7 linked regions of the Macaca mulatta genome follow. The protein of the gene in region 1 interacts with the protein of each later gene in a pairwise test. Links are inferred from orthologs where the notes say so. Each region holds a gene or a part of one and is shown in the gene's direction. Other genes may lie near its edges. The genes, in order: FAM161A, CADPS, VPS52, CEP63, CCDC136, ZBTB8A and NUTM1.

Evidence for each region.
Region 2: the proteins of FAM161A (region 1) and CADPS interact in a two-hybrid assay, tested with the Homo sapiens proteins (2 studies listed by BioGRID). The two-hybrid records come from large-scale screens. The link is inferred for Macaca mulatta from reciprocal best matches to the Homo sapiens genes FAM161A and CADPS.
Region 3: the proteins of FAM161A (region 1) and VPS52 interact in binary tests that used the Homo sapiens proteins (3 or more experiments, as listed by UniProt). The link is inferred for Macaca mulatta from reciprocal best matches to the Homo sapiens genes FAM161A and VPS52.
Region 4: the proteins of FAM161A (region 1) and CEP63 interact in binary tests that used the Homo sapiens proteins (3 or more experiments, as listed by UniProt). The two-hybrid records come from large-scale screens. The link is inferred for Macaca mulatta from reciprocal best matches to the Homo sapiens genes FAM161A and CEP63.
Region 5: the proteins of FAM161A (region 1) and CCDC136 interact in binary tests that used the Homo sapiens proteins (3 or more experiments, as listed by UniProt). The two-hybrid records come from large-scale screens. The link is inferred for Macaca mulatta from reciprocal best matches to the Homo sapiens genes FAM161A and CCDC136.
Region 6: the proteins of FAM161A (region 1) and ZBTB8A interact in binary tests that used the Homo sapiens proteins (3 or more experiments, as listed by UniProt). The two-hybrid records come from large-scale screens. The link is inferred for Macaca mulatta from reciprocal best matches to the Homo sapiens genes FAM161A and ZBTB8A.
Region 7: the proteins of FAM161A (region 1) and NUTM1 interact in binary tests that used the Homo sapiens proteins (3 or more experiments, as listed by UniProt). The two-hybrid records come from large-scale screens. The link is inferred for Macaca mulatta from reciprocal best matches to the Homo sapiens genes FAM161A and NUTM1.

Annotation. Positions count from the first base shown.
Region 1 is NC_133418.1:62,881,968-62,886,081, forward strand, and holds the start of FAM161A (protein FAM161A), read left to right. Parts: upstream 1-1,314; 5' UTR 1,315-1,474; coding exon 1,475-1,657; intron 1,658-4,114. UniProt on the Homo sapiens protein: Involved in ciliogenesis.
Region 2 is NC_133407.1:126,458,317-126,462,303, reverse strand, and holds the start of CADPS (calcium-dependent secretion activator 1), read left to right. Parts: upstream 1-1,187; 5' UTR 1,188-1,538; coding exon 1,539-1,979; intron 1,980-3,987.
Region 3 is NC_133409.1:149,024,222-149,027,721, forward strand, and holds part of VPS52 (vacuolar protein sorting-associated protein 52 homolog), read left to right. Parts: intron 1-535; coding exon 536-654; intron 655-936; coding exon 937-1,060; intron 1,061-1,329; coding exon 1,330-1,425; intron 1,426-1,552; coding exon 1,553-1,660; intron 1,661-1,884; coding exon 1,885-1,950; intron 1,951-3,500. UniProt on the Homo sapiens protein: Acts as a component of the GARP complex that is involved in retrograde transport from early and late endosomes to the trans-Golgi network (TGN).
Region 4 is NC_133407.1:37,528,379-37,532,516, forward strand, and holds the start of CEP63 (centrosomal protein of 63 kDa), read left to right. Parts: upstream 1-1,338; 5' UTR 1,339-1,376; coding exon 1,377-1,652; coding exon of another isoform or gene 1,653-1,710; intron 1,711-4,138. UniProt on the Homo sapiens protein: Required for normal spindle assembly.
Region 5 is NC_133408.1:168,429,235-168,432,734, forward strand, and holds part of CCDC136 (coiled-coil domain-containing protein 136), read left to right. Parts: coding exon 1-165; intron 166-256; coding exon 257-331; intron 332-3,500. UniProt on the Homo sapiens protein: May play a role in acrosome formation in spermatogenesis and in fertilization.
Region 6 is NC_133406.1:208,271,620-208,275,119, reverse strand, and holds part of ZBTB8A (zinc finger and BTB domain-containing protein 8A), read left to right. Parts: intron 1-2,591; coding exon 2,592-2,924; 3' UTR 2,925-3,500. UniProt on the Homo sapiens protein: May be involved in transcriptional regulation.
Region 7 is NC_133412.1:11,547,552-11,551,051, forward strand, and holds part of NUTM1 (NUT family member 1), read left to right. Parts: intron 1-47; coding exon 48-176; intron 177-3,133; coding exon 3,134-3,270; intron 3,271-3,500. UniProt on the Homo sapiens protein: Plays a role in the regulation of proliferation. Regulates TERT expression by modulating SP1 binding to TERT promoter binding sites.

The DNA of each region.
Region 1 (4,114 bases):
GTGCTCTAATTCCTTATCAATACTTTTTTGTTGTTGTTTTTGAGACGGAGTCTTGCTTTATTGCCCAGGCTGGAATGCAGAGGCAAGATCCGGGCTACCTGCAATCTCCGCCTCCCGGGAGGGCGCCTGTAATCCCAGCCACTCCGGAGGCTGAGGCAGTTTTGTAGCCACAAAACTGGCTGCCGTGACTGACTGGAAATTGCTCCCCTGGACACTTGGCCATACCTGGCGGTCCATATCCCATGGTTCTAGCTCTGGCTTCTGCTTAGAACCCAGCCAGCATCTGTTCCAGCACTGGAAGGAACTGTTTAGCCAAAACAAAGAGCAGCCTGAAGGAAGTGGGGACGTGGGAGACTTTGCTGGCGCTCACACCCATACAGGAGAACAAAGGTTTGGTAAGGGCTCAGACCTTAGAGATGGATTCTCGACGATGTGCAACGCATAACGAGGAAAATACTGACCGGAGGGGGCCTGTCCTAGGGCTGGGGAGCGGGAGGAGGGCAAAGGATAGAGAGGGGTAGATAGGGAGGGAGTAGATAGGGAGCGGCAGCCTCGGCCTCAGTAAGCAGGGGCTTATGGAGCAGATGCCTGAGACTGCACCACGTCCGCTATTTTGAGGTTTGGCTTCTCTTACGACCACGTGGTGCAGAGGGAAGGCGCCATTTGATGCGTCCAAATCCCGAGTGGAAAGAGAAGATACGGATGAGGGAGATGGGTGTGTCTGTGATGACTCTTGGGCACTCGCGCCGTTCAATCCTGTCACTCTCAAGCTGATGAACCCAAAGCAAACGCCAGGTTTACACTACCTGCACCCTCACTCATTAGTGGGAGGGTCAGGCACCACCCAACTCTGGGCTTTTATTGGTCAGGCCAAGAAAAACGCTAGAGGGACAACTGGGAGCCTCCTTCTGATTGGTGGATTCCTACTAGCCCTCAAGTAAATCAGAGTAGAATGCACCTCCCTCCTTCCCACGCTGGCTCCCGCGGGAGACATGTTAGGTAGCGCGACGCCAACCTTGCCACTCTTCAGAGGCCGCCACCCAGTAATACGCCCTGCTTTCCTCCTCCGCCGCCGTCTCCTCCATCAACCGTCTCCTTCTAACATATTATTGCAGTTAATAAAAAAGCGCTCTTTTCTTCACAAAAGCAGTTGTTTCATTGTATAATGTGAGAAGTCTGCGTTCAGGCGGTTAAACGCAAAGGAGAGGAAAAGTGCCCTGTTCAGCCTGCCAACCTTCGGAACCAGCAAACAGACTCGGTACTGACCGCCATGATCCAGTAAGCACCCGACTCGGGTCTCTGGCAGCCTGAGAGGAGTTTTTGTGACTTTTGGTCCCTGGCGGCTCCTGTAGTGTCCCCAGTTACGGCGCCCATAGCAACCGGCTCCCTAGCTAGGAGCCCCCGGGTCGCCAGGGACCGCACCAGCTTTCCCGCCCCGGGCCAGCGCAGGCGCTCAGGTCCCGGAGGCGGGGCGATGGCCGCCTCCCACCGAGCGGCAAAGCTGGTGGCCTCCAGTCTCCAGACTCCTGTAAATCCCATCACTAGAGCGCGGGTCGCCCAGTACGAACGCGAAGACCCCTTACAGGCCCTGGCGGCAGCAGAGGCGATCTTGGAGGACGAAGAGGAGGAGAAAGTGGCGCAGTCCGCTGAGGCGTCGGTAATACTGGGGCGGGACGTGGGTTGGGACCTCGCACGGGCTGGGTGCTGGCTGAGGGCTGTCCGGGTCCCCGCCCAGCTGAGGGCAGGCTGGTAAACGCGGGACCCTGTGCACATACTCCCTACTTGGTGGTCCTGGCCCAGCCCCTTCTCTACGCTCACGAAAAATACTCTAAATCGAGGCGTTGAAAAGTGTTTTAATTTTCACCAGAGAGTCTGTTGTAAAAGTTTCCTAGACAACATTTATGTTACTCTGTTTCTGGCGAGTGCAAAGTATAGAATTTTACTCTTTACTCTCTAGCATCTCGGGAATGGATGGATAGATAGATAGATTTTATAATTTGAGGAAAACTGTTCTGTCAGGTGTGTTTCGTTATTACCTTAAGAACTTGGTTATAAGTGGATCTCAACATAATGCTGGAGAGAGGCGTGTTTAAAACCATCACGTGTTCACTGGCTAAATCAGACACGGATACAGATAAGCAAATCACTGAGGTTTCAGTGTTTCCTAAACGGCTCTTTAGGGTACAGCGAGACAGCCTTTTCACTGATCAGTTTTCAGTGTTAAATCTGTTGTGGACACCAGTCTAGCAGGTGGAGGGCAGGGTCTGCCATCTGCTCTATTCACTTAAAAGATGGGAATCTTGGCTGGGCGCGGTGGCTCGTGCCTGTAATCCCAGCACTTTGGGATGCCGAGGCAGGCAGATTACGAGGTCGGGAGTTCGAGACCAGCCTGACCAACATGGTGAAACCCCGTTTTTACTAAAAATACAAAATTTAGCCGGGCATGGTGATGCGCGCCTGTAATCCCAGTTACTCGCAAGACTGAGGCAGGAGAATCGCTTGAATTTGGGAGGCGAGGGTTGCAGTGAGCTGAGATCTCAGACCCAGTCTCAAAAAAAAAAAAAAAAAAAAAGGAATCTTGAATTTAAACTAGCAATCTGCAGATAGAAAAAGTTTCTTTTTTTTTTTTTTTTGAGACGGAGTCTCGCTCTGCCGCCCAGGCTGGAGTGCAGTGGCCGGATCTCAGCTCACTGCAAGCTCCGCCTCCCGGGTTTACGCCATTCTCCTGCCTCAGCCTCCCGAGTAGCTGGGACTACAGGCGCCCGCCACCTCGCCCGGCTAGTTTTTTGTATTTTTTAGTAGAGACGGGGTTTCACCATGTTAGCCAGGATGGTCTCGATCTCCCGACCTCGTGATCCGCCCGTCTCGGCCTCCCAAAGTGCTGGGATTACAGGCTTGAGCCACCGCGCCCGGCCAGAAAAAGTTTCTTAATACCATGTGTCCAAAGCTTCTCAAACACAAAACTTATGATTGAGGACTAGTTGAAATCCCTGGATATTTTGGAATTCTAATCTCTTTAATCTACCATAAAATTGTTAATGAAAGCATCTTTAGCAACACCTTTTGTGACCAATCTTTCTCCAGTAAACAACTTGAAGTTATCCAGAGTAAGGTAGACTGAGACCCTGAATGTGAACCAGGATCAGAGTGCTAGGACTGATTTTGTTCATTATAACCTACCCCTCAACACAATTTTCAGTAGGCAACAAGGCAGCGTGATGGAGAAAAACTATTTAAGAGTTACATATTAGGATCCATTCCCTGCCACTCCCTAGGTGGTGTTAGGACACACTTTCTTTAAATCTCGGTTTCCTCATCTGTAAAATAACTATAATAATTGTCTCTTTTTCCCATCTCAGCTCTATGAGAACCAAATGAAAGAATGTGTGTCTCCTCTAAAGAGCAATCTATATAAAAGAGTAATCTATATAAACGAGATGCCAGTGGGAGTGTCATTTGTGTGCCTTCCCAAAGATTAAACTACTTTGGCTTGCTGTGGGAAAGGAGTCAGTCACTTCTAAGTTGCAGATATGCTTCCAAAGTGCCCTGTTAAACTACAAATTTGTTTTTTTTTTTTTTTTTTTTTTTTTTTGAGACGGAGTCTTGCTCTGTAGCCCGGGCTGGAGTGCAGTGGCCGGATCTCAGCTCACTGCAAGCTCCGCCTCCCGGGTTTACGCCATTCTCCTGCCTCAGCCTCCGGAGTAGCTGGGACTACAGGCGCCCGCCGCCTCGCCCGGCTAGTTTTTTGTATTTTTAGTAGAGACGGGGTTTCACGGTGTTAGCCAGGATGGTCTCGATCTCCTGACCTCGTGATCCGCCCGTCTCGGCCTCCCAAAGTGCTGGGATTACAGGCTTGAGCCACCGCGCCCGGCAACTGCAAATTTGTATTAGAAACTGTTATTACCTTAGGAGGGATCAGTTTATACAATAATCTAGTATGGAAAGGACAGGATCCTACAAAAAACAGAAGGAATCCAAGTCTTAAGAATCTGATACTGTTCTGAGACCACCACACATGAGGGATCTAAAAGTAAAGCTGGGTAAGCTGCCACAGTGGGTCTGATAGCCAGGCGCACAGGGCTTGGGGAAGAGGCATTAAAAAGGCAGGAAGAGT
Region 2 (3,987 bases), on another chromosome or scaffold:
TCTGCAGGTCTCAAACAGGTCAGTTTACTCTCAAAGCTTACTGTGAAACTCATGGTAAATTATAAAATACGTAAAGACAAACGTGATTTAAACTTTAAACTCATTCTACACTATTAAAGTCACTCCCACGAGTGTCCACAGATAATCAGGGAACTAGAAAATACATAAATATAGGCGATGAAGTGGGGAGGTCTCTAGATAGCCTAAGTTCTGAAGGTGGCTGGTGGTTTGTTTTCATCCATCTGCGGGTCGCAGGTTACATTCAGCACGCTGGCCAGCTCCCTCGTTTACTGGGTTTATTGGCCTAAGTGAAAGGAGCAGGGGGAAGGCAGGCACCATCTGCTGCTTTGTATTAATAGTTTACCCAAGAGGCAGGGGTGAAGAGAGTGCGACAGTCGACGCATTAGATGTTGACGCCGCTGAGTTCTTAGGGTGTCTTTGTCTGATCGCAGGGTCCCCAAGCCTCCACCGAGTCAGAATGGAGAGAGGGTTAAGCAACCAGAAACCCTTCTATTTCTCTAGTAGGCTCACCTCAGCAGAAAGCATTCCCAGGTCTTAGGAACTGAAGAAGATTCATCCTAGATTTTGGGGGTGGGGAGTAGGCAAGGGCGGGGGCGCTACACAAATGGTTGAGTTGCCCGGTCGAAACACCAATCCATTCAAAATTTGATTAACTTATAGTTTAGACTGGGCGCATGCGGAATAAGTCGCTGGAATCAGAGTTTTCACAGGTGGGACAAATACGCTGCCCAGCCCCCCTCCCCCCACGCCCCAGGTGTAAAGAAGCCTGGGGAAAGGAGATGGACCCTTTCTTTCCCGCATAAGATCTCACGGACTTCCTCCTCCTAAGTAAGACCTCTCGATTTAGCGTCTCCAAACAGCCCGCTCGGCTGGTTTCCGGATTTCTCCCTCCCCCAAGAACTTTTTGTCCGCGGGAGGGGAAATGGGGTTGAGGCAATGAGAGCCAGAGATCAAGAAAAAAAATATCCACGAAGCGGGCAGGGGAGGAGGGTGGCAAGGTATTGGGGTCAGAAGTACTGAGGCTCTGAGGACGTTCCGCGCTCTCCCCGCTCCAGCCCTCTGCACCAGCCCTTTACGCCGCGGACACGGGAGAGTTAAGCCAATAAACACGTAAGCGCCGCTCCCTCCCCAATCGGCAAGATGCCTCTTCGGCTCTTGGCTGCATCGACAGCTTGCAACACTCGGCATCTTTTCTGGAGGCGCCTCCTTCAGCGGCCGCAGATGGCATCCGGCTGCGGGCTCAGGGCTTGCAATTGATTCTCCCACTTGCCCACCTCGAGTCCACGGACGCACCTCTCCCTTCCCCTCCTCCCTTTGCGCTCCTGGGTCTGAGCCCAGCTCGCGACCGCCGGGCAGAGGATCAGTCGCGGCGGCCGAGGCTGAGCAGCAGCCCTCTCGCTCCCTGACCTGGGGAGAAGCGCCCACCCGGGAGATCTGATCCCCGGCTGCCTCCAGCGCCCCCCACCTTTTGCACTCCAAACCGGGGGCTCCAGAGACCCCGCTCCCCAGGCGCCACTATGCTGGACCCTTCGTCCAGCGAAGAAGAATCGGATGAGATCGTGGAGGAGGAAAGCGGCAAGGAGGTGCTCGGCTCGGCCGCGTCCGGCGCGCGCCTGTCTCCCAGCCGTACCAGCGAGGGCTCCGCCGCCAGCGCCGGGCTAGGGGGCGCCGGCGCCGGCGCCGGAGCCGGGGTGGGCGCAGGCGGCGGCGGGGGCAGCGGCGCGAGCAGCGGCGGCGGGGCCGGGGGGCTGCAACCCAGCAGCCGCGCTGGCGGCGGCCGGCCCTCCAGCCCCAGCCCGTCGGTGGTGAGCGAGAAGGAGAAGGAAGAGTTGGAGCGGCTGCAGAAAGAGGAGGAGGAGAGGAAGAAGAGGCTGCAGCTGTATGTGTTCGTGATGCGCTGCATCGCCTACCCCTTTAATGCCAAGCAGCCCACCGACATGGCTCGCCGGCAGCAGAAGGTAGGTGCGCCTGGGAGGCCCAGGGAGCAGCACCCGGACGTCGCCAGGCGGGCGGGGCGAACAATGGGAGCTGGAGGCGCAGCTGGCGAGGAGGAGCAGGAAAGGTGGAGACCGCGCCCTGGGGAAAGGGCTACGAGGCCCCTTCCCAGCGGCCGGGCTCGCCGAGGCCCGGCCCAACCCAGCCTGGAGCGCTCCTGGAGCTGCCTGGGACCGGCTAGGGCCGCGGAGCGCAGCGCCGCGTGCCCGAGCTCCCCAGCCCGGGAGCGTTGGGGAGAGCGAGGCAGGCAGGTCCCGCTTTGTGGCCCGAAAGGCTGGGGGAGTGACTTGCAGCCCGCGGCGCCCAGAGAGGCCTTGCTCGCTTGCAGGGCTCCCAGCGCTCTCCAGCGGCGGGCGGCTGCGCTCAACTCCGGGCCCGCCCTCCTGGGCGTGCGATCGGCGGGCGGGGGAAACGGCAGGCGGGGGCGCCGAGGTGGAGGGAGAAGAGCGTCTTGGAGCAGCGCTCCGCTCGCTGGGGCGGAGAGCAAGCGCAGGGGCAGGCGGGAGAAAGCAAGCCCGGAAGGCGAAGCTTCCCGTGACTCTGCGAAGGGCACTCTCCTCTCCCTGCCCGGGTCAGCCGATCACCGACTAGCGTCGCCAAAGGGTCCTGGGGCACTGCTTCCTTATGGCTGGAGTTCTCTCCAGTCCCCCTGACCCTTCCTCACTGACCCCAGTGCAGGGGCACGCCTTCTGGTCCTTCCGTCCGGGTCAGCCCCTCCGCCTTCCTCTCTTTGACCCTCTTCTCCTCTTCTCAAGGTGACTTCGCCGCCACCTTCTGGCTCGCCTGGGTCCTCCAAACCCTGCCACTGCTGCCTTGATAAAGTACAGCTGCAAAAAGCCTCGCAATCAGAGGCATCAAAAGCTTTTTCTGTCTGAGGTTGGGGCAAGGCTGAAGCAGCTCTGGGCTGCCTTTGATTTTTTTTTTTTTTTTTTTTTTTTAAGGCGCCTACTTCTATCAGCTGTTCTTTAGCTGGAGGAAGGGATGAGGGGTACTGAAAAATGAGGGGCAGTGGCGGAGGGTGGCGGCAGAAGAGAAGCAGTCAGGCACCCCGTTGAAGTGAGTTAGTGAAGAAAGTCAGCGTTCTATTCTCTCTCTTAAATAAATTTGCAGCACTTGAGCTATCAGAAAAGCCAGTCAGAGAGGCAGTGTGAGAGGCCAGTCGTAATCCCATTAAGATTGTGAGACTAGTGTCTTAAAATAGTGAATTTTTCGGTTGCTGCCATTTATGACCAAATAACATGTTGCTGTAGTAGCATTAGGTTTTCCACATTTCTCCACCCTTACCTTGAGTTAGCACAGATTTCTGTTTGTTTTGCTTACATGTGTACACACACCACCCAGCACTGATAATTTATTTCAGCCATCATGAGCTTGGATATCGTTTCATTAAAAGATAAAACTCATTTCCAGGGTGAGAGACAGGAGGTGGGTTACACACACGGCTCTCCATCTCTATCTGTGGCCCCTTGTTTTTTCAGTTCGTATTTTGGACTGCAGTAGAGCAAAAGTATCCTCAGAGCAGTAAAAGTTTTTGGGACATTATTTTAAGGTTGGATGTTGAGTTCACGGGGCCTAATGTTTCACATTTCAGTTTGGAATTCCTGTTGTAATTGTGTCTTTATAGCATGGGAACTTCAGCTTCCAAAATCTATCCCAGTAATAACAGCACCAGCCAAAAATATCCCATTCCTTTGACAATGAAAACTGTGACTTTAAGTGTTAGGTTGAAAGGGGTGGGGGGTGGGGGTGTCTAGACACATTTATCAAAGTCTCTAGAGCGCTGTCCTTTAAATAGATGCTTAAGTCCAGAGCTAGCATGGAGAAAGAAATCCCACAGAGACACATTCTTCTAAACAGAACCTTCAGCCACCTTAGAGATCATTATGAGGCCAGATTTTTCTGATCTGATTGTATGTTTTACCTGAATCCACGCAAAGCTGTGGTTTTGAGGGGCATGCTGGTTCTATTTTT
Region 3 (3,500 bases), on another chromosome or scaffold:
AAGTCAAAAACGCCGGGCGCAGTGGCTCACACCTGTAATCCCAGCACTTTAGGAGGCTGAGGTGGGCGGATCACCTGAGGTCAGGAGTTCGAGACCAGCTTGGCCAACATGGTGAAACCCCATCTTTACTAAAAATACAAAAATTAGTCAGGCGTGGTGGCAGGCGCCTGTAATTCCAGCTACTCAGGAGTCTAAGGCAGGAGAATCGCTTGAACCTGGGAGGCAGGCGGAGGTTGCAGTGAGCTGCGATTGCGCCACTGCATTCCAGCTTAGGCGACAAGGGCGACAAGAGCGAAACTCCATCTCAAAAAAACAACAACAAAAAAAGCCAAAAACATAGATCCTGGTGGGTAAGGCAGTAGGACCACCCGGGTGGCAGTGGACAGGAAAGCAGGGGGCAGTTGCATTTTACATCTCTCCCTTCTGTCCTATCCAGTGCATCATCCCCAAAGAAACACATGCGTTTGTTCATAGTCACTGAGGAAAACAAACTGACATTCTCTTTTAATCCTCTGCTTGTTCCCCAATCACATAGAAACACCTGGAGTCCTATCTCGCTGACTGCTACGATGCCATTGCTGTTTTTCTTTGTATCCACATTGTTCTCCGGTTCCGTAACATTGCAGCAAAGAGGGATGTTCCTGCTCTGGACAGGTCACTGAATTCTGGTCCTTGATGCCCAACAGGCCACAAACTCTTGGTCTTGCATGACTCTGCCCTGACCTTAGACTTCTACTGACCTGGTATCATTAACCTTTATTCCCATTGATTTGCTCCAGAGGCAGTACTGCTGCTTTTTGACTCACCTTTCTCCAACCACTGCCCCCCCATCCCCACAACTAACTGTTGACCATTAAACTGAATGGTGCCCCACTCCCCCCCATCCCTCTCCAACATTCCTTGCCGGCTGACCTCATATTCTGATTAAGCCCACAGGTACTGGGAACAGGTGCTTGCCTTGCTATGGCCACGGTTTGAGCTGATCCTGGAGATGAATGTCCAGAGCGTCCGAAGCACTGACCCCCAGCGCCTAGGGGGGTTGGATACTCGGCCCCACTATGTGAGGGAGGGCAAGGGTAACAAAGGGTTCTTGAAAGGCAGGGCTCTAAGCATCATTGTGGGGTTGGCCACGGTCACAGTTGTGTCATGGGCCACGCTATGAGCAGGCATTCTGGGAGGGTGATAAAACTCATGGTGAGTGGTGCACTGTGGGTAGGAGGGACTGGAGGTAGAGTCACATCACATGGTGGCGGGTTGACCAAGGGAGTTGGGAGGTGGTGGTGGTTGGGCCAGGAGGTGGGTGTGATTTTCCTTCCCACCCTGTCCTAGATCACACGCCGCTACGCAGAGTTCTCCTCCGCTCTTGTCAGCATCAACCAGACAATTCCCAATGAACGGACCATGCAGTTGCTGGGACAGCTGCAGGTAAGGGTCAGACAGGAGAGACTTACCAGCAGCAGGGCTGTGCCAGTGGGTGGAGGCCGAGGGGGAGCCAGAGGAGGGCCTGATGGCCTTGCTTTCTGGTGTCACCTCTTCCTCTCTGCCTTTTCAGGTGGAGGTGGAGAATTTTGTCCTTCGAGTGGCAGCCGAGTTCTCCTCAAGGAAGGAGCAGCTTGTGTTTCTGATCAACAACTATGACATGATGCTGGGTGTGCTGATGGTAATAGGTGCTCCTTCTCCTTGTCTTCCTACCCAGAAAATTTGGTTTCCCCCACTGCTTTGTTAGCTCTGTGAGGGCAGAGACGATGCCTGTCTTGTTCAGCGTTTTACTCTTGGAGTCTGGCACAGTGTCCAGCTTAGTACAATAAGTGTGGAATGAAGGGGACATCCTGAAGTGAAGGACTGCTTTCCCCAAACTTGACATTTCCCTTTGTCTTCCCTTAGGAGCGGGCTGCAGATGACAGCAAAGAGGTTGAGAGCTTCCAGCAGCTGCTCAATGCTCGGACACAGGTAGGGGTGTGGGGAAAAGGGAAGGGACAGCTTTGTGTGCTGTTTTCAGCTCCTGTGTGTTTGTGTGTGTGTGTGTGTGTGTAGGGAGTGGCATAATGGACCTCAGGTACATGGAATTACTGTAACTCTTGATCCACAACATACTGTCATTATTGGTCTACTTTATTTTATTTTGTCTTTGGTTTTGCTTTTTTTTTTTTTTTTTCCTTTTTTGAGGCAGAGTCTCGCTGTGTCACCCAGGCTGGAGTGCAGTGGCATGAACATGGCTTACTGCAGCCTCGACAGCCTGGGCTTAAGCGATCCTCCCACCTTAGCCCCTGGGTAGCTGGGACCACAGGCATGAGCCACCACGCCTAGCTAATTTTCTATTTTTAGAATGAATTTTATTTTTTTCTTTATCCATCCCCTCAAGCACTTATCCTTTGTGTTATAAACAATCCAGTTACACTCTAAGTTATTTTAAAATGTACAATTAAGTTATAATTGACTATAGTCACCCTGTTGTGCTGTCAAATAGTAGGTCTTATTCATTCTTCCTATTTTTGTTTGTACCCATTAATCATCCCCAGCCTTCCACTAGCCTTCCCAGCCTCTGGTAGCCATCCTACTCTCTTCGTACATGAGTACATGAGTTCAATTGTTTTGATTTTTAGATCCCACAAATAAGTGAGAACACATGACATTTGTCTTTCTGTGCCTGGCTTACTTCACTTAATATAATGATCTCCAATTCTATGCATGTTGTTGCAAATGACTGAGTCTCATTATTCTTTATGGCTGAATAGTGCTCCATTGTGTACATGTCCCACGTTTTCTTTACCCATTCATCTGCTGATGGACACTTAGGTTGCTTCCAAATCTTAGCTATTGTGAACAATACTGCAACAAACATGGGAGTGCAGATACCTCTTCAATGTATTGATGTCCTTTCTTTTGGGTATATATCCAGCAGTGGGATTGCTGGATCGTATGGTAGCTCTACTTTTAGTTTTCTGAGCAACCTTCAAACTGTTCTCCAAAGTGTTTGTACTAATTTACATTCCCACCAACAGTGTATAAGGGTTCCCTTTTCTCCACATCCTTGCCAGCATTGTTATTGCCTGTCTTTCGGATAAAAGCCATTCTGACTAGAGTGAGATGAGATCTCACTGTAGTTTTAATTTGCATTTCTTTGATGATAGTGATGGTGAGCCCCTTTTCATATATGCCTGTTTGCCATTTGTATTCTTTTGAAAAATGTCTATTCAAATCTTTTGCCCATTTTTTAATAGGATTATTAGACTTTGTCATGTAGTGTTGTTTGAGCCCCTTATATATGCTGGTTATGAATCCCTTGGCAGATGGGTAGTTTGCAAATATTCGTTGTCTCTTCACTTTGTTATTTCTTTCGCTGTGTGTGCAGAAGCTTTTTTTTTTTTTTTTTTGACACGGAGTTTAGCTCTTGTTGCCCAGGCTGGAGTGCGATGGTGCGATCTTGGCTCACCGCAACCTCCGCCTCCTAGGTTCAAGCAATTTTCCTGCCTCAGCGTCCCAAGTAGCTGGGATTACAG
Region 4 (4,138 bases), on another chromosome or scaffold:
TTCCACCTTTTAGTAAGGTTTTCTCAGATCACTCGAGCTTCAGTAGGCCTTCTATCCTTGAACTCTTGCTTCTTGTCCTAACTTAAATCTACTAAACAAGCTTTGTGATCAATTGCTCAGGTATTATTGTCTCCAACTGTTATGTGTACATTTTGTACCCAGGATTCCTTAGTAGATCTTTCTACAATTTGGCCTCAATCTTTTTCACCTGTCCCTTCTCCAAACACCTCAAACCCTGTCACATTTTCCAGCCTTGACAGTTAAAACCCCCCTTTCCACATCACTAATGCCACTCTTCCTTTCAAGATCAACGCAGGCGTCAGCTCTTGGAGGTCAACATCCCATTTCCGGGGTTAGGCGTGAAGGTGCCTTCACTCTTAAGGGGCTGGAAGGATGGAAAGCAACAAGATAATCTAATCAATGCCCAAGGCACAGCCACCGTCCCAAATACTCGTCACACAATACGACCACTGTTTCCTGAACAAACTTTTCTTACACGTGACAGTCCCGATGCCTGCAATGCTGTTTGTTTCTTCCTTTTTATTCCAGCGAACCCATAGTCAGTCTAAAAATCTCAGGTCTCAAGTCGCTTCCTGTAGGAGGCCGCCTCCAAACCTCAGGCTGAGCGCGGTCCCAGTACCCACCGGGGATCTCATAGTTCCCTAAGCACAGAGCATGGCACCAACTAGGTAGCCTGTCAAACAGCCCAGATGTATGTCTTTCCAGACACGCAGTGCCTGCGTTTCCCGGGACAGGGACATGTCTTATCCATTTCTATACATTATAGCTTTGTAAACATGTATCTGTAAGGTCAAAGCGGGAAAATATTGTTCCTTGCTAGAAATGAGCCTCGCAGGCCACCACACTGTACGAGAGGCCGCCCCTCAGCCGCGGCTTCCGGCCTGACGCAGGATGTACCAAACGTGGAAGCGGAGACGGGGAGGTCTGGGGTGCCAAGCAAGTCCCTTTCCTCCCGACACAGCGTGCAGTAAAGAAAACGGTTATGAGCGTAAAGTGACAGCCTCGGCCGATGGAAATAGGGGGAAGTCCGACACTGAGCCACGAACGCATTCCCGCGCCTCCAAAACCTAGGCCGGGGGCGCTGCAAACCCTTACCGTTACGCGGCCCAGCGCGGCAGACGCTTCCTCCTGCCACGCCCCGCATCACGTGTCTGCACGCTCTTTCTCGGATTCCCGGATGTGGGTGAGTCCATTTGCTCGCGTGCAGGGGAAGTCTGGAGAAGACATTGATTCAATTATTAAAAGTGTGGGGGCAGTGGGCGGAACGAACGCTCCGACTGCTGAGGCTGGACGTAAGCTTAGTGGTGGCGCGCGTGCGCAGTGCACGCCCGAGGTAACGGCGGGAAGGCTGAGGGATGCGCTTGCTGCAGCCGTGTAACCGCCCGTGCGCAAGACGGAAGCGCAAGGGGCGAGCGCGTCCTGGTCCGGAGGCGGCCCAGGCTGCCTTGGTGACTCTGGCTTCGCGGCCTCATGGCTTGCGGCCGGTTCGCGCAACAGTCTGCGAACCACCAGGCGCCTCCCCGCCGGCTCGCGTCCGCCCCGGAGCCCCGTCCCTCGGCCTGGCCCGCTATGCCCTGCACACCGGCGTAGTCCGGCATGGCGCAGCCCGGCGCGCGGTTCGGCCCCGCCAGGTGGTCACAGCGTTTCCTCGGAGGCCGGGTGGCTGGGGGCGCTTCGGAGAGTAGCCAGGTGGGCGGGCGAGCTGCGCCCAGTACTCACCTTTCCCGGCGGACCCACCTTTCTTTTCAGCGGAGGGACCCCTGTGCGGCCTCCCGGCCAGGGCTGCTGTTTAGCTAGCGCTGTTAGGACTACTTCATTCACGGCACAAGGGGACCCGCTCATTTAGGGTGGCATGTTAAGGTTGGCAGCTTTTAAAATAGTGAGTTGGTGTAAACGGTTATGTTTAGTACAGCAGGTACGGAAATATGGCAGAAATCGTGGACTGAAATTGGAGAACCCTGAACTAACTGCTCCATGCACACAGATCAGGGATAGAAAGAAACAAGGACGGTTTCTTAGGAACACTTTAATCATGGAGATACTTGAAGACAGTACATTTAGGCTTATAATGTGGTTTTTTTTATGTCGTATACGACATCAGGAGAGTAAAGATGTGTATGATGTCAGAGACTAGTCATCTTGTATAGTTTAAGCACCGTACACTAATATGCACAAAGTAGTTTTCCCTGAGCTTTATGTCCGGTTAAACTTATTAAAAGAATTTATTCTTTTATAAAGCAGTATTGTAGGGTAGATGCTCTGTATTTATACAGTTCCTCACGTGCTTGCGTTTATTTTTTAGGTAAGAGAAAATCATAAGGATCGTTGATTAGATTTCTGTTAGCTGTAGCTTAATAGTAAAACAAAGTATATATATTTTCTTATTTGGAATGCAGTACTATTTTTAGATTAATTTTTGAGATTGCCTTTTGACTGTGGCATGATCAGTGATCAGGGTAGTAAAAAAGGCTCTGAAACTAAAATGGGGTAGAGATTTATAAACAGGCACACTGCCTTTTAAAATGTATGTAGATGCAACTCTAAAAGTTGTTTGTAAAAATTGTATATGTTGATTGTACTGATGCCATTTTCTCTCTTTAAAAGGTGGAATGCCTTTGCTTAGTCCTTTCTGTTCTAATTTACGTTGTGCTGGCAGATGGTGACAGCATCAGTAGTCCACTCTGTCATTGCTTCCTGCTTTCAAAAAATGTCAACTTGATTTGGAATTCAGCTAAAGCCAACATTGACACAAGGTTTCAGGAACTGAATTTCCGATCTTTATGTTATTTTAGTCCCCTGCCCGCCCCCGTCAGGAGCTAGGTTTTTCAGTTTTGCAAAGCCACACTACTGTCATTACACATACACAAATTAATAAAAATTCTCTAATGTCAATGTCCAGTCAGATTACGATTTCTTCAACTCTCTCTTAAATGTCTTTTTTGCAGTTAGCTTGTTTGAACCAAAATCCCACAGGGATCTGCCTGTTGTGTTTGGGTGATGCATATTTGACATCTTTTAATCTATAGCAGTTCCCTCATAGCTATAGCTATGGGATTAGCCCCTATTTTTCCTTACAGTTCTAAATTTAGCAGATTACATTGCACAGTATCCTTTAACAGGTATCTCTGTTGCCTTTATGGCTTCTAAACCAGGGGCCCCCAAACCCGGGGCTGCAGAGCACTACCAGTCCGTGGCCTGTTAGGAACCAGGTTACAGAGCAGGAGGTGAGTGACAGGCGAGTGAGCATTACCTACCAACTGAGCTCTGCCTCCTGTCAGATCAGCTGTGGGGTTAGATTCTCCTAGGAGCATGAACCCTAATGTGAACTGCGCATGCAAGGGATCTAGGTTGCATGCTTATGAGAATCTGACTAATGACTCATGATCTGAGGTGGAACAGTTTCATCATGAAACCATGCCCCTAACCCTTGCCATGTGTATTATTCATATTACTGAAGAAGTGGTTGGCCGGGTGCGGTGGCTCACGCCTGTAATCCCAGCACTTTGGGAGGCTGACGTGGGCGGATCACGAGGTCAGGAGTTCGAGACCAGTCTGGCCAACATAGTGAAACACCGTCTCTACTAAAAATGCAAAAAAGTTAGCCGGGTGTGGTGGTGTGCGCCTGTAATTCCAGCTACTCGGGAGGCTGAGGCAGGAGAATCACGTGAATCCGGGAGGCGAAGGTTGCAGTGAGCTGAGATCACACCGTTGCTCTCCAGACCAGGCTACAGTGTGAGACTGGATCTCAAAAAAAAGAAAATAAATAAATAAATAAAAAGTGGTTTGGCCATTCCTCCCCCAAAACATTTCATATGAATGTTAACAAAAAGATATTTACAAAATTTTTTATTTCCACCCTGTCCGTGTTGAAAAATTTTCTTCCGTGAAACAGGTCCCTGGTGCCAAAAAGGCTGGGGACCACTGCTCTAAACCAGTAGTTAGATGTAGAATTGCACTGTCCAGTATTGTAGCCACCAGCCAGCTGTGGGTAATTAAAGTGAAATAAAATTAAAAATTCAGTTCCTAGGCTGGGCGCGGTGGCTCATGCCTGTAATCCCAGCACTTTGGGAAGCCGAGGCGGGCAGATCACGGGGTCAGGAGTTTCGAGACAAGCCTG
Region 5 (3,500 bases), on another chromosome or scaffold:
AAGGTGGCAGTGTTGGCTCTCTGTCAGTCAACAAGCACCGGGGACTGAGCCTCACGGAGACAGAGCTGGAGGAGCTGCGGGCTCAGGTGCTGCAGCTGGTGGCAGAACTGGAGGAGACCCGGGAACTGGCAGGGCAGCATGAGGACGACTCCCTGGAGCTACAGGGTAAGTGGCTGGGCCAGGGCCCAGTGCCCGGGCCCAGAGGCTCTGCACTCCCCTGGATCCGAGCTTGACACTGGTGCCCCTCTCCCTGCAGGGCTCCTGGAGGATGAACGGCTAGCCAGCGCCCAGCAGGCAGAGGTGTTCACCAAGCAAATTCAGCAGCTCCAAGGTAGTTCCCAGGGCTTGGACCGGAGGGAGGTGGCCATCCAAGTGGTCACCTAAGTACTTTTTTCCTGAGGGTTTGACTGAAGCATAGCAGATAAAAATAACCAAATTCAGTAATTTCACCTCATTTTCCTCTACTAGTCTCACGCTTTTCCGCTCCTTGTCTCTCCATCCTCCTCTGTCCCCAGTTTTCTTTCTTTAAACCTCCACCTGGCTCTTCTGTCCTCTCCTTCCATTTCTTGACCTCCTTGTCACCTCCTGTCTCTGGTGGGCTCTTTCCTCTTGCCCCTTCAGCCTCCTCCTTCATACTGCATCCCTGTCCCTTTGTTCTCCTGGTCAGTGCCAGGGGTGGGTGATCCAAGTTGAATTCCAAGCCAGATTCCTTTTTTGGTTCCTCCAAGGACAGCATGGGAAAGCATGAAGCCAATGAGACGTGACTGGCGGGGCCTCTCTGCACCTGTTAAGGGAGGCAGATGAGAGCACTTCTCTTGCTGCCTGGGACCTGAGCTTGTGGCCCCTAAATCCCTTTTTGCCAACACCCACGTCCCTTTGTCTCTGGAAAGCAGCAAGGCAGGTGTCCCACATTCCACCGCACCACCAAATAAAGAGGCAGCTTTTGTTACTTTTGTGGGCTTCCGGAAGGTTTAGGGGAGCTGCCCTAGAAAACGGCAGGGACTCTGGGGAGAACTGAGATCAAGCCAAAAGAAAAGTATAAATGGAGAAAAAAAAGGAAGGCCGGGAAGCAGGCCTGGACAGTAGCAAGCAGAGGTGTGAGAGGGGGAGGAAAGGAGACGGGGACAGAAAATGTAAGCAAAGGTAGATACAGGAAGGGTGGTCAATGAAGGGGCTTGCAGAGGAGGAAAGTGGCAGGAAACGTGTCACACAGGGAAGAGTGTGGGCACTGGTCTGGGATGACCTAGATTCCTGGGCCCAGCTCTACCACTTACAAATTGTGTGATCTTGGGCAAGTCACTTATCTTTCTGAGATGTCATTTCTTATCTGTAAAATGGGACTAATTTATTTATCACCTACTTATGAGGTGCCTTTATACTTGGAGGACCAGCTATAAATGAGACAGACCACATCCCTGCCCTAATGAAGAGTACATTCTAATGGAGAGAGGCAGAAAATAAACAACACAAGTTCAGGTGGCAATAAATGCTATGAACACGACATAATAATATGATATAGAGAGGAGATGGGATGGGAGTTTATTTTATTTTATTTTGAGACATAGTCTCACTCTGTTGCCCAGGCTGGAGTACAATGGCACAATCTCGGCTCACTTCAACCTCCGCCTCCCGGGTTCAAGCGATTCTCGTGCCTCAGCCTCCCGAGTAGCTGAGATTACAGGCATGTGCCACCACACCTGGCTAATTATTGTATTTTCAGTAGAGATGGAGTTTCACCATGTTGGCCAGGCTGGTCTTGAAGGGAGTTTATTTTAGATATGGCAGTTAGGAAAGTCATCTTTGAGAAGTTGACATTTGAGCTAAGACCTGAATAATGAAAAGGATCCAGCCATCCAAGATCTGAGGGAGGAGCGTACCAGGCAGAAGCAACAGCAACTGCAGAGGCCCAGAGGTGAGAATGAGCTTCATTTGTTTGAGCGATAGAATAGAGGCCACTGTGTTTGCAGCAAAGTGCATGTGGAGGACCCTGGTAAGAGAATGTTCTGAGGCAGGCAGAGGCCAGATTACAATGGATCTTATAGGCCAGCCAAGAGGCTTGGCTTTCATGTAAGTGTGGTGGAAAGCCAGGAGAGGGTCTTAGCCAGGACTGGGATGATACGATCTGCTTTACATTTTTAAAAGAGAACTTGGCCACTAAGTGGAAACACTTAGGATGGAGGGAAGGGACTCAGAACAGTGAGTCCTGTCAGCAAGTTACTGCAATAGTCCAGTCAAGAGATGATGGTTGCTTGAGTTAGGGCTGTAGAAATGGAGATGATTCAGAATATATTTTGAAGGTGAAGCCCTCGGGATATGCTAATGAATTGGATCAGGGGACAACAGAGACATCAAAGATGACTTTGCCTTGAGAAAATTGATGGAAGGTGGTGATGTTTATTGAATTGGGAAAGACTTGGCAAGGGGTAAGTTTTGGGGGTAGGGGAGCCATTTAAGACATGTTTTCTACTGTTGAGTTTGAAGTAACTGTGGACATCCAAGTGAATATATTGAGGCAGTTGGATATATAAAGGCGGAACCAGGGAGAAAACAGGGCCGGAGATGTAAATTTGGAGTCATTAGCATATAATTGGCATTCGAATCCATGGGAAGTAATGGTGCAGTCACATGGAGAGACACCAGAAGAGGAGAAAGGGTCCAGTCCCAGAGACACTCCAGTATTTAGAGGTCCAATATAGGAAGACAAATGAACAAAAGAGTAAAGTGAGAGGAACTCCTGGAGCATGTCATGCCCTGGAAGCCAGAGCAGAAAGTGCTTCAAGGAGACAATGATCCACTGTGTCAGGTTGCTAAGTCAAGTGAGATGGTCTTGGATTTGGCAAGAGGGAGGACCCAGAGACATCTCAGTGCATGGAGGCACCGATTGGATTAGGTTTAGAGAGGACATGGGAGATGAAATGGAAAAGGTGAGTACCGGTAACTCCAGTAGTCATTTTGAAGAGAAGCAGAGAAGTAAGGGAAATAGGGTCGAAAGATTACTTCTTTTCTTTTTTCAAAGGTAGGAAATGCTAGATCATGTATAATGAAAGAAAAGATCCAGTACAAAAAAAGGCCTTTGCCTGGAGAAGGGACATTCCTCCATTCGAACTGGCGAAAAGTCAGGATTGAAGCACAGATGTAGCAGGAACTACCTGGGAAAATAGGGTTCTACAGCGCTTCCCTCCTCCGTAGGATGTTTCGTTTCTTTTGAGATGGAGTCTTGCTCTGTCACCCAGGCTGGGGTGCAGTGGTGAGATCTTGGCTCACTGCAACTTCCGCCTCCTGGGTTCAGGAGGCCTGGCTAATTTTTCGTATTTTTAGTAGAAATGGGGTTTCACCATCTTGGCCAGGCTGGTCTTGAACTTCTGACCTCGTGATCCGCCCCGCCTCGGCTTCCCAAAGTACTGGGATTACAGGCGTGAGCCACCACGCCCAGTCCTCAGTAGAGTGCTTTCTAGGGTGAGATCCCTCACGGCCCTGCGGGAGAGACCGAGGCTGCCCTC
Region 6 (3,500 bases), on another chromosome or scaffold:
CAAATCGTGTACTTTCAGTGTTTACTGATTAATATGTCAACAGTTATGCACAGGATAATAACTGTACTAGTGGTAGTTACATACGCTTTCCTACATATTTTACCAGGCTATATTAGCTTTCTTGGATTTTTTTTTTTTGAGATGGAGTCTCACTCTGTCATCTAAGCTGGAGTGTAGTGGCGCGATCTCAGCTTACTGCAACCTCCGCCTCCCAGGCTCAAGTGATTCTCCTTCCTCAGCCTCCTGCATAGCTGGGATTACAGACGTGTGCCACCATGCCCAGCTAATTTTTGTATTTTTTTTTTGGTAAAAATGGAGTTTTACCATGTTAGCCAGGCTGGTCTCAAACTCCTGACCTGAAGTGATCCAACCACCTTGGCCTCCCAAAGTGCTGGAATTACAGGTGTGGACCACCGTGTCCAGCTTCTTGGGTATTTTTACTGTGTTTGGTGGCCTACTTCTACACTGTCCTGACTTTATTTATTTATTTATTTATTTATTTATTTTTGAGATGGAGTCTTGCTCTGTTGCCCAGGCTGGAGCACAGTGGTGCAATCTTAGCTCACTGCAAGTTCCACCTCCCGGGTTCACGCCATTCTCCTGCCTCAGCCTCCTGAGTAGCTGGTACTACAGGCACCCGCCACCAGGCCTGGCTAATTTTTTTTTTTTTTTTTGATTTTTAGTAGAGACGGGGTTTCACCGTGTTAGCCAGGATGGTCTCGATCTCTTGACCTCAAGCGACCCGCCCGCCTCGGCCTCCCAAAGTGCTGCGATTACAGGCGTGAGCCACCGTGCCCGGCCTATACAATTAATTTTTATAATTTTTAGATTAGAACCCATAATCTACTGTTCTGACAGCTGTTGAACAAAGTTGTTTATTACTAATTATAATACCTAATTATTCCTCAACTACAGCTGTTTACCAAGGCATTTTACACGTTAACTCATTTGGTCCTCATGTTAGCCCTGTGAGTGGTATTCCCATTAGCCACAGGAAGCAAGCAAAGATAATACTACGCTGATACGTAGAACCAGCACCATAGTAGTTGTTTATGACGAGTGTCCAGTAGAATTAGTCAGGTTTCTCATCTGTCTGGGTGGTGCCCATATCTTACCAGTTAAATATTTTAACTGTCACCCTAAAGCAAGTTTATATAATGTTTTAAATTACTTGCTCCAAGATACATGGTTAGTAAGTGACGAAGATAGTAAATGACTAGAACCCCAAGCCTTCCAATCCCTGTGTGGTCCTCTCTCCAGCAGATCTTTTATTAATAAAAATGGCAAGTACTCCTTCTATCTAAAATATTGATACATTTAAATTTTTACAATATTTATCTTTCTCTAGTAAAATAACAAAAAATTAATACACAAAACAAGAGAGATTCCACCCCCACCACCACCTCAAATTAAGATATGTTCAGACTGGACAACATAGCAAGACCCTTTCTCTAAAAAATTTTTTTTTTTTTTTTTTTTTTTTTTTTTTGTTGAGACAGAGTCTCGCTTTGTCACCCAGACTGGAGTGCAGTGGCCGGATCTCAGCTCACTGCAGGCTCCACCTCCCGGGTTCACGCCATTCTCCTGCCTCAGCCTCACGAGTAGCTGGGACTATAGACGCCTGCCACCTCGCCCGGCTAGGTTTTTGTATTTTTTAGTAGAGACTGGGTTTCACCATGTTAGCCAAGATGGTCTCGATCTCCTGACCTCGTGATCCGCCCGTCTCGGCCTCCCAAAGTGCTGGGATTACAGGCTTGAGCCACAGCGCCCGGCCAATTTCTTTTAATTAGCCAGGTGTGGTGGCATGCATCTGTAATCCCAGCTCCTTGGTAGGTTGGGATGGGAGGATTGCTTGAGCCTGGGAGGTTGAGGCTGCAGTGAGCTATGGTCACCACAACACCCTAGCCTGGGTGACAGAGGGAGACCCTATCTTAAAAATAAAAAGTATGCTGGACACAGTGGCTCACGCCTGTAATCCCAGCACTGTGGGCATCCGAGGCAGATGGATGACAAGGTCAGGAGTTCAAGACCAGCCTGACCAACATGACCTATCTCTACTAAAAATACAAAAATTAGCTGGGCATGGTGGCGTGTGCCTGTAATACCAGCTACTCAGGAGGCAGAAGTAAGAGAATTGCTTGAGCCCGGGAGGCGGAAGTTGTAGCAAGCTGACATTGCGCTATTGCACTCCAGCCTGGGCGACAGAGTAAGATGCTGTCTCAAAAATAAATAAATAAATAAATAATAAAAATAAATAAGTGCATGGTGCATGTAAGTGTTTGCAATTATTATTATCATAGGAAGTATCCTGTTGTTACCTCAGATACCCAAATGCTATTGGATTAAGGGATAAGTGAAATTATTATGTAATATTAATAATAAAAAACATGATAGCCACTATTTAGAGAAAGCTGATGTTTTTCTGTGACATCAATTTGCCACTAAAACCCTTGATCTTTTTCTAATAATAGATGTTAATTTGAGTTTAATGCATGGCTTTGAACATCTTAAGTTTATGAACTGGTACCTAAAATATCAAACTGTCCTGCTTTTGAAAAATCACTTTTATCACTATTTAAATCTCTACACAGATTCACCAGGCATGTAAACTCATCTGCAGAAAATGTAAACGTCATGTGACAGATCTAACAGGGCAAGTGGTACAGGAGGGAACCAGGCGCTACAGACTGTGTAATGAGTGTCTTGCAGAATTTGGCATAGACAGCCTCCCCATTGACTTGGAAGCTGAACAACATCTTATGTCCCCATCAGATGGAGATAAGGATTCCAGATGGCACTTGAGTGAAGATGAGAATAGATCCTATGTGGAGATTGTAGAAGATGGGTCTGCTGATCTGGTCATCCAACAGGTTGATGATAGTGAAGAAGAAGAAGAAAAAGAAATTAAGCCCAACATTAGGTAGCTGTAATGTGAACCAACAGAGCTGGCATGTCTGCAATTTACATTGACTTCCTGTATCTCTCTCTTTCTGTGGTCAGAGTCTAGTTAACAAATTTATCATACTGACTTTAAAGAAATGATCTGATATAACTTGCATGCTTTCTGAACAGGCCATTGTATCTATTCTGAACTTTGTTGCCCTAAAATGTGTTGCTGCACTGGAAAGAAAGAACTAGCTTGAGTTGGCATGATGGATGAACAATTATCCTCTTACTTTCATTACAATCCTCTTTATTACAGAGATACCCTTTTTCTTTTAATATTGGAAGATCTACTTAGCAAACTTTTTTCAAAGAAAATACTTTAAATAAATTCACCACATCCAAACTTTATGTAAGACAATTTCAAGGTGTTTCAAAAACACATATACAACCAATGTTTAATTTCACAGGAAACCAGTTAAGAGCACATTTAAAGATCTGGCAACCCACCTGACTAGACAAATTAGTCTTTGTATTAATTTGAGATCTGAAACAATCTGTCATTACTCTGATATCCTGAACGTTTAAGGATTATGGAAGAAGACTAAAATGTTTGA
Region 7 (3,500 bases), on another chromosome or scaffold:
GATGGGAGCACACTTTCAGAATGTGACTGACTCAGTGGGGGTTTTAGCCCAGTGCTTCGTTCCCTGGCCCGGCGGAAGCCCACTATGACCCTGGAGGAGGGACTGCCATTGGCCGTGCAGGAGTGGGAGCACACCAGCAACTTTGACCGGATGATCTTTTATGAGATGGCGGAAAGGTGAGTTCGATGAACTTTCATTCTCCTGAGGGAGGCTGTGGGCTGAGAGCAGTAGGGGCAGCTGAGAGGCTCAGGTGGGGGCAATTATCAAAAGCTATGTTAGGGCGGGGCACGGTGGCGCGCGCCTGTAATCCCACCACTTTTGGAGGCTGAGGCGGGTGGATCACCTGAGGTCAGGAGTTCGAGAACAGCCTGGCCAACATGGTGAAACCCCGTCTCTACTGGAAAAAAAAAAATACAAAAATTAGCTGGGCATGGTGGCACGTACCTGTAATCCCAGCTACTCGGGAGGCTGAGGCAGGAGAATCGCTTGAACCTGGGAGGTGGAGGTTGCTGTGAGCCAAGATTACGCCACTGCAGTCCAGCATGGACGATAGAGCAAGACTCCATTTCAAAAAAAAAAAAAAAGATGTTAGGCTGGGTGTGTGCTTGTAGTCCCAGCTACTTGAGAGGCTAAGGTGGGAGGATGGTTTGGGTCCAGTAGTTCAAGACCAGCCTGGACAACATAGCAAGACCTCATCTCAAAAAAAAAAAAAAAAAAGAGAGAGAGAGAAAGAAAGGAAAGAAAAACAGGGTGGGGAGGGGGGTGTAGACTAGGATGGTGGTTTCCTGGATCCTTGCTTCTTCCTCCACCACCTTGACTCTTGGGTTTTTCTATCGTATTTCCTCTTGAAAGCTCCCCCGTCACCAGATCCTGAATCTGTATAGGAGCCTTGATACTGTAGATCTTAGGATGGGATTGGACCCCAATGGGTATAGCAATTTCATGCTGAAAGGACCTAGTAATGAAGAGGTATGCTCTACCAGGCAGGTTCTTGTTTCTTCCCACTGACTTGGTAGCAAGTGGCTATTGATACAGAACTTCAGGACCGCTCCTCCATTGGAAACAGTGGCACAGAAAATCCCTTTCCCCCTTTATCCCAGGGAGGGGCTGGTTCTGGAAGAGCCAGGGAAAGCCAGTGTCCGGGATGCCCAAAGTTGTCTCCTGGCTCTTATTCTATTTCTCTGTAATATCTTTGATTCAAAAAAAAAAAGAAAGAAAAAGAAAAAAAAAGGCCAGGCATGGTAGCTCATGCCTGTAATCCCAGCACTTTGGGAGGCCGAGGTGGGTGGATGACCTGAGGTCGGGAGTTCGAGACCAGCCTGACTAACATGGAGAAACCCCGTCTCTACTAAAAATACAAAATTAGCCAGGTGTGGTGGCGCATGCCTGTAATCCTAGCTACTCAGGAGGCTGAGGCAGGAGACTCGCTTGAACCCAGAAAGTGGAGGTTGTGATGAGCCGAGATTGTGCATTGCACTCCAGCCTCGGCAACAAGAGCGAAACTCAGTCAAGAAAGAAAGAGAGAGAGAGAGAGAGAGAAGGAAGGAAGGAAGGAAGGATGGAAGGAAGGAAAGGAGAGAAAGAAAGAAAAAACTCAGAAAAATGAACGCATTTTTCCAGGCTTAGCTTTCACTTGCTCCCTCCCAAAACCTTTTGGACCCGTGCTTCCTAGACTTACCTTTCCAAGAACCCCCATCCCAGTCTCAGGACTCTGGGATCTCAGCCTTGTCTCCTGGCAGGAACTGCCTTGAATTCTTTATGGTTGTAGGCAGGGGCAAATGAGGTCTCGAGGAGGATCCCACTGTGAGATCCCACCAGGCTGTTGCATAGGCCTGATTAAATTAAACAAGCGTATATTAAGCACTGCTGTGTACAATCCATGAAGCTGGGTGAGATAGGTATGGAAAAGAAGTGAGGCCAGGCACGTTGGCTCACACCTGTAATCCCAGCACTTTGGTAGGGCGAGGCAGGCGGATCATGAGGTCAGGAGATCGAGACCATCCTGGCTAACACAGTGAAACCCCTTAGCTACTAAAAATACAAAAAAAAAAAACCAAAAAAAAAACAAAAAACAGGCATGGTGGCATGCACCTGTAGTCCCAGCTACTCGGGAGACTGAGGCAGGAGAATCACTTGAACCCGGGAGGCAGAGGTTGCAGTGAGCCAAGATTGCGCCACTGCACTCCATTCTGGGCAACAGAGTGAGACTCCATCTCAAAATAAATAAATAAATAAAAAGTAGTGAAAGCCCTGGCTCTGTCCAAGAGAAGTTTACAAGCTCTAGATCATTCTTCTTCTTATTTTTTTTTTTTTTTTTTGAGACAAAGTCTAACACTGTTGCCAGGGCTGGAGTACAATGGTGCAATCTCGGCTCACTGCAACCTCTGCCTCCTGGGTTCAAGTGATTCTCCTGCCTAGGCCTCCTGAGTAGTTGGGATTACAGGTGCCCACCACCACATCAGGCTAATTTTGTGTATTTTTAGTAGAGACAGGGTTTCACTATGTTGGCCAGGCTGGTCTCGAACTCCTGACCTCATGATCCACCCACTTTGGCCTCCCAAAGTGCTGGAATTACAGGCATGAGCCATTGCACCCGTCCTCATACTTTACTTTTTAAAAATTTTTTTGAGGCAGGATCCCACTCTGTTGCCCATCCTGGAGTGCACTGGCACTGTCAGGGCTCACTGCAGCCTTCACCTCCTGAGCTCAAGCAATCCTCCCATCTCAGCCCCACAATAGCTGTGACTAGACGCACGTCACCACTCCTGGCTAATTTTTTTGTATCTTTTGTAGAGATGGGTTTTTGCCGTGTTACCCAGGTTGGTCTCAAACTCTTGAGCTCAAGCAATCTGCCCACCTCAGCCTCCCAAAGTGTTGGGTTTATAGGCATGAGCCACCCCACCTGGCCATTCATTTTCTTAAGCTTCCTAAGTGATGACTACAGGGGAAGGAACTATGTGCTGAGCTCCCGAGGTTTCCCTGGAAATATGGTTAAGCCACCTGTGACATGACTTAGGCAGACTTTGCCCGCCTGAGAGCACTTCCTTTCTTAGCCATGCTTGACTGTCGTCTGGATTTCTGACGGGTCTGGTCTCCTTCTTAGCATTGCCTATGCCTTTCTCACCCTCTGCAGGTTCATGGAGTTTGAGGCTGAGGAGATGCAGATTCAGAACTCACAGCTGATGAATGGCTCTCTGGGCCTGTCTCCTGCAGCCCCTTTGAAACTTGATCCTCTAGGGCCCCTGGCCTCTGAGGTTTGCCAGCAGCCAGGTGAGGCTACCCAATTTTGACAGGAGCCGAGGGCCAAAGGCTCAAAGGGAGGTGTACAGAAGCCAGTCACAGATTAGAGAAGGCATGGCCCAGGCTCTGCTGCTTTCCCTCTGGAGAGTGGCATTTGATATTCCAAGCAGACCACCCCATAGGAGGCTGGGTTCTCAGGTTCCTTTTGCCCTGAACTAGGTATTGATGTTGGTCAAGTAAACTAACTGCTCTCACCAAGA